2 linked regions of the Saccharomyces cerevisiae S288C genome follow. The protein of the gene in region 2 purifies or fractionates together with the protein of the main gene of each other region. This does not show direct contact. Each region holds a gene or a part of one and is shown on either strand. Other genes may lie near its edges.

Region 1 (3,759 bases), on a different chromosome or scaffold from region 2:
TCTGGTTCACGCGGATGTTCTCAAGAATGTATTCCACCAGCTCGTCCTCGTAGACGCCGAGGAATTCACGCACCAGTTCGTCCACGTAGCGCGATTCCTTCAGATTAGTTAGTCTTATGTTCAGTTCATCTGCTGTAAATGGCAAACGGTCCTCTGCCGCGCTTCTCTCGGAGGGTTTTGTTGGAGGTAGCTCGCTCTCTCTGTATCCCTCGTCTTCGCTAGAGCTTTCAACTGAGTGATCAATAGCCTTCTTAAAGTCGAATTTGATCTTGACGTGTTCTGAGCTCTCAGACACATTCTTGTCCGCGTTATAGTTCTCGCTCTTCACAGTGCCTTCAGGAAGGGTGATGGCGGCAGCCTTCCCTGCAGATATGGCCTTACCATCCGATAGTTGTATAGGCGCCAGTTCCTTTGCATTTCCATTTTTAGCTCTATCCTCTTCGTCCCTTCTTTCCTCTTGCTCCTTGAAAGATCTATGGTGGTCGTAATGAACGTCGTTGGCAAGGTGTAATAGCTCCTTCAAATATAATGAGCGATTTTTCTCCAAATGTTCCTCATAGTTTTCAGCACTCATGATATCAGCCCTAATGGATTTTATCTTAGGCTCTGTATTGGAATGTAATTGGTGTAACATATCCTCATATCTACGATTTGATTCTTCCAGGTCTCTTTCTTCTTTTCTCTTCTCTAAGGCAAGGTCGTCTTCAGTGTCATCCTCCTCATCTTCATCTTCCATATTAGTATCCTCCTCCTCTGTATTGGCGCTCCCTTTGGCTCCTGAGTGGTTTTTCCTTATTTGATCAAAAACTTTTTGCATTTGGTGTCTTTGACGCCTACTTTCCTCGTACGTACTTTTCATTTTTTTTTCTTTCTCTATACTGACAACTTTTGTCCTAAATTCTATTATATCCTTGCACAATTGGTCCAAAGCATCCGATGGCAAATCACTTAAAGTGTTTGTATCCACTTTGTATTGTGTGGAAGAGTCATCCAACTGTTCTTTCTTTGAATTTCTTTCGTCTGTTTGATCTTCAATGTTTTTGAAAACAGAATAAAATTCGCTAGCCTTTTCTGGCTTAACACTCGGTATAGTTCCTGTTCGGTCTTCGACATATTCTTTTGTGTTCAAATCCAAGTGTAACTCAATCTTGAAATCCTCATGTAGCTTTCTAATAAACGCGAATAAGGCTTTGCAGTAGTTCAGCGTATTAACAAATGCCTCATCTTCATCAACCTTACTGAATCTTATAAAAATGTCCTGGGTATCTAAAAACGAAGAAAAAGAAGACCAAGCTTCTACTTTCAATGCGGAATTGCTTTGAGTTTCAGTCAACGCTAAATTCAAACAGTGGTCTAGCAATGATTCTATCTGTCCGCGAGAAAATGATGAAGAGACACCTTGTAAAGATACTGTATGAATCTGTTGGTCTAAGGAAATGGGAAGAAATTGTTTGAGCTCTTGGTAACGGGAAGAGCTTGTGGCGCACTTGTTAGCACTATTGTTATCTGCTATTGAAGCCTCTTTGTCTTTATTCAAACCAGTATTCTGGTCAGAATTGTGTATACTCCCATCATCGTTGCTATTTAGCAGTGTCTCTGATAAGCTGTTTCTGGCGTCAACTATATGTTTTAATGAGTCCTGAAAACGTTGTAGATCATTTTTGAGGATAGGGATGAACCCACTTTTGGCAGAATCACTTTTCCAACCCTCCTGTGATGACAAATACAGCTGCGGTGATACAAATACAATATCCCTCATGTTCTGTAAATCGACGTACTCTTAAGGAACTTTTATGAGCTTGATTTTGGTCCTGGTCTGTTTTTGTTCTTGATCTATCTAATTACTTTTGCACTTTTTAGCGGGCATCATTACCACGGAAAGTAGCAAAAAATGTAGCAGCGAAAACTGCTTTTTTATATTTGTTCCTACAATTTAATAGAAGATAACTCAGTACTGATTTATACATCTATGTTAGATATTTATTACTTCTTCTAATGACACGTCGTGATCGATTTCTTTAGCTTCTTTCCAGAATTTACTTAGGTGTCTTGAACCGCTGTCGCATGCAATAATCACAATGTTTGAGCCGTGAGGAAGCGTTTTTGCAACCTGAATAGCGGCTACCGCATTAATAGCTGTACTACTCCCCACGAATAGCCCGTCGTTTACCGATAGGTATTTTGCCATTCTAATGGCTTGATTATCGTTGACTCGTATTGATTCATCAATAAACTTTTCGCCCATATGAAAATTATGAGTGATTCTGTTTAACCCAATCCCTTCTACGATAGTGTCAACTTGATGCCTTCTTCTAGTACCTTCCTTCTCTACATAGTCATACATCACGCCATAGTTGACTCTATTATAAAAGCCAGATCCTTGTGGATCCGCTAGAACGACATGGCAAGGTATCTTTGCTCTTTCCTTTAAGAATTTTGCCACACCAGTTATGGTGCCACCAGTACCGCAGCCAGCAATGAATGCGTCAATATTTCCCTTAGTTTGATGGGCAATTTCTGGGCCTGTGGTCTGGTAATGTACTTTCCAGTTGGCTTCGTTTTCGAACTGATCGGCAAAAACTGCTCTTATTCCATTACCACTCTTCTTTAGTTCATTACATGCCTTTTTGGCGGCATTTACGTATTGGTTTGGATCGACAATACTAGCGGGCTTAACCTTATTAACAGTAGCACCGAGGCTTTCTAGTAATGCCAATTTTTCTAGCGATGTGTCATCGGGCAAAGAAATGTGTGCCCTATAACCCAACGCATTACAGACCACTGCTATAGAGATACCAGTCGACCCACTTGTTCCTTCAAATACCCAGCCAGGTTCACCTCTGACGAGCTCGCCTAATTCCTCAGCCGTCTTTATGATGTTTAAAGCCACTCTATCCTTAGCACTTCCTGCTGGGTTGCATAACTCCAACTTAGCGTAAATGTTAACTCCAGTAGCCTTGGTAAGAGATCTGATCTTAACCAGAGGAGTGTTTCCTATGAGTTCTTCAACGCCTTCTTTTGGACGTGGAATATCGCGTGTTTTGAACAGCTTATAGTATTTGTATGATGCATACGCGCCAATTAGGACGGAAGCGATGGATATGCATTCACGCCAGGCCAGACTGACAGAAGTCTTATTTTGAGAACAGGACATAAAGGATGTTTTGGTATATTCCGATTGATAGGGCTATTATGCAGTATTATACGGCATTGTTACTTCAAATATTACAAGACTTTTAAGTTACTATAGACGTGCAAAATTCAATATAGATCATTACCCGCATTAATAGTAACGCGAGTAGATCAAGTATCTTCGGATTCTGTATTTTATAAGCTAATTTTGCTGATTTACGTATACGATTCACTGGAATGTTTGTCTGAAAGGTTTTCCTTATGAAACTTACCGCTGGTGTGGTTATATTATAATTATTAAGTGTTAAAATAAATGTTTGACATTGTTCACATGATTGTTGCTCTGCTGTAAACATTTTAAATCGTGCATCCAGGAACTTTTTTTCTATGCACCTTGAAGAGGAAAGTGGTAAATTTGAACTGCTGCAGTATCAGAGTTGTAATAAACTCACTCTTTGCTATCCAAGACCTGCTTGACCGGTTCACTTTGATTAATGTATAGATTATACTCTTGGATGTAACGGATGACAGAGTTTGGAAGAAGATATTGAACTGACATTCCACGTCTGATGAAAAGCCGCACTTTCGTAGAGGAAATATCATTGTAAATAAGTTGTTTGATAATAA
Region 2 (3,139 bases):
GTTTCTGGCCCTGAGGTACGGACATTCCTTTGTAGAGATACTTTACCAGCACGTCCCTCTGAGAATCACTCAAATTTTTGATTACATTACCAATATCGGCTTGCCTGACTTGTGTCAATGCTTCAAGGACGCTCTTAAAATATTGCTCCTTTGTTGGAGCATCTGCACTGTATGGAGGATCGGTTGTGAGTAATTGAACGGCTCCCAAAGAGTCACCACTTGTGGCAAGCGAGCGCAATTGATTCATTCGAGGTTGTAATTCTTGTAATGTGACAGTAGTTTCGTATGGTGGTACCAGATCGGCAGCGGTTAGTCTGCCACTCTCTGGATCAAATGCATCGATGTCAATTCTCCTCCAATCGGCTTCCATTGCTTGATCGTTCGCGTGTGTTGTGTTGAGTCTTCTCTGGTCTCCTTTGCTATAGTATCTTGTGTTAAATGCGGGCTGTTTTTCTCTTATTTTGTTATAGGGGCAAAGTCTGAGAAAGGGAAAAAAGTATCCAAATTAACTGATGTGCGGGTAATCATAGACAACAAGTAGCAGAGTTTAAGTATTACTTATATTCAATAGTCGGGCGCTTCTTTGGGAGCTGGTTGAGACTCTCGAGTCCGTGAGTTTCTAGATTTATATACAGAAGTAACAGCAGCAGTAGGAGTGGCGGCGGAGAGCAATGGCCTGTTTCCACGGTACCTCGCGTCCAATGTGGAACTGCCGTATCTATCAGCGCTATATGCGGAGGAAGAAGTTTCCCTGCGTGGCAGCCTGGGAGCATAATTTCTTTCGGCGGGATTTGATGTACTTGCGCTTGCAAACCTTCCTGGAAGCCTGCTGTCTCTGTTGGAATAGCCTCTGCCTCCTAGGCCGCCGCCCAATCTTCTTGGCTTGAAATATTTAACGGTTCTGCCTCTTTCTATGTCGACTATGCAGATTCTGTCTTTGATTTGGATACCTCTGTGTACTCCAATCTCCTTGAATGCCATTTTACTACTTATTGGGTCTTTGAAAACTATGAAGGCGTAGCCTTTACTCTTCTGGGTTATCTTGTCCTTGACTATCCTAATTTTTTCGATCTCGCCAAACTTAACAAAATACTTTTGCAGTTCAATTTCGTCAAGATCGTATGGTAGCCTCCCAATAAATATCGTTCTGTAGGGATCTGTGTCCTTGATATGAGGGTCAACGTTAGGATTCCAATTTTGTAGTCTCCGGTCTAACAATTGAGCATTTTTGATCTTGGAAAGTTTGATGTCTTCGTATCTTTGGAGATGGTTGTTTGGAGATCCTTCAGGAAACTCCTCCATATAGTGCTTCAAAGAGGTTGATAGTAAGTTTGCAACGCCAGTGATATTTGGATTTGTTTGTCTCTTCGCATATGGGTAATCGGTTGGTCTTTTGTAAGATAAAGGTGGCCTTGGCTTGAAAAGTCTCGACACGTCGTCTGGATACTTGGATAGATTATAATTCATCAAGGTTGAGGTGCCGATTACTTTTTTAAGGTTTCCTTTCGACAGTCGATGACCGTGCTGTGTGTCATTATCTTGCAGTTCTTTTTTTCTTCAGATGCGTTAATTTCCTACGAAGGGCGCATACAATGGTGCTGATGGGATTTATGAGCAAAACAAGTAGGCGAGCAAGACATGAACGAAATTGTAATGAAGCGTACTTCCTTTTCCCTACAACCTTAAAAAGGTCTCACTGATATATCCATTCGCAATAATGACAAGATTTTTGCATGGGACTTCTTTTTTTCTTTTGAATAAGTCGCGTTATAAGGACAAAACATTAAAAAAAAATATGTATTGATTCACTGATTTATATATACAGAAGTAAGTACCGGGGTACCTAAATATACGCATAAAAGTCTCTTTCTTTTTTTTTTTTTTTTTTTTAGCTTCCTACATTTCGTTAATAATATTATATAGATTATATTTATATTTAAGAAAAGTAATATCAGCATATTATGAATAGACAAAAAAGTCTAAGGTCAAGATTTATTAAATGTTAGATTATTAAGATTACAATTAACAACATTTGTTGTTACTTCATAAAATTTCGTTACTTCATAAAAGAACTACAGTCCCCCACTTCTAAATGAGTGGTTGTAGGGGTTCATATACCTCCCATACTGTTGGAATAAAAATCAACTATCATCTACTAACTAGTATTTACGTTACTAGTATATTATCATATACGGTGTTAGAAGATGACGCAAATGATGAGAAATAGTCATCTAAATTAGTGGAAGCTGAAACGCAAGGATTGATAATGTAATAGGATCAATGAATATTAACATATAAAATGATGATAATAATATTTATAGAATTGTGTAGAATTGCAGATTCCCTTTTATGGATTCCTAAATCCTCGAGGAGAACTTCTAGTACATTCTACATACCTAATATTATTGCCTTATTAAAAATGGAATCCCAACAATTATCTCAAAATTCACCAACTCTTCACATACATACCTGCGGTAGCAAGATAGGTACACTTTTTCTACGTTTCACGAAGGTAGCGATAGGTACCTCACTCATTGTAGGTGCGGGGGTAGCGATGGAGGTTTCTGTACCATTACCACCACAGCCACTATACTCACGTAGTGAAGTCCCTAGCGTGGAATTGTGTGGTATCGTTGCTATCTGTCGTTCGCCACCCTCGGTATATCCAACGTGCAGGCCAATATCACTCTCTAAGAAAATCGTATCAGGATTGGTACGGACAAACTCTTCATAGCCTACGTCGAAATCAAATTCTGCTAAAGCTGTGACTGTAGTTAAACCTAAAACCGCGATTATTGCTTGAAAAACTGTGGAGAAATTCATGATGGACGGTCACGTTCAGGGTCTGAGAAAACCACTCATTCCTATGTCCCATGTGGTTGGTTGCAATTTGCTGCTATATATACGACTTGGCTGTAGAGAGATCTACGTAGGATGTGTCCACTATCAAGGGGGGTTTACCAACGTTATCTTCTATTTTAAGTGCTCAAATGAAGGTTGCATTATATCCCTGGCAGTTTTCCCGGCAATTTTGCCGGCCGCTTATAATAGTCATGGTGAAAGGATTGTTGCTTGTTGTGGTTGCAACATGACAGTTGCCTACTAACTAAATAATAATCAAAGTCAGTTTCTCAACAAT

What was found. Proteins that work in one complex are often made in the same cells at the same time.
Region 1: the proteins of SNP1 (region 2) and SNU71 purify together in Saccharomyces cerevisiae (affinity purification with mass spectrometry; 8 studies listed by BioGRID, with this or other methods). This does not show direct contact.

What each region holds. Positions count from the first base shown.
Region 1 is NC_001139.9:512,554-516,312, reverse strand, and holds the start of SNU71 (Snu71p), read right to left. Parts: upstream 1,760-3,759; coding exon 1-1,759. Other genes in the region: MCY1 (putative cysteine synthase), read right to left, coding at 1,973-3,154; nicotinamide-nucleotide adenylyltransferase NMA2, read right to left, coding at 3,581-3,759. UniProt on the Saccharomyces cerevisiae protein: Component of the U1 snRNP particle, which recognizes and binds the 5'-splice site of pre-mRNA. Together with other non-snRNP factors, U1 snRNP forms the spliceosomal commitment complex, that targets pre-mRNA to the splicing pathway.
Region 2 is NC_001141.2:244,093-247,231, forward strand, and holds SNP1 (U1 snRNP complex subunit SNP1), read right to left. Parts: upstream 1,468-3,139; coding exon 565-1,467; downstream 1-564. Other genes in the region: ARC15 (Arc15p), read right to left, coding at 1-370; YIL060W (uncharacterized protein), read left to right, coding at 2,300-2,734; YIL059C (uncharacterized protein), read right to left, coding at 2,458-2,823. UniProt on the Saccharomyces cerevisiae protein: Involved in nuclear mRNA splicing.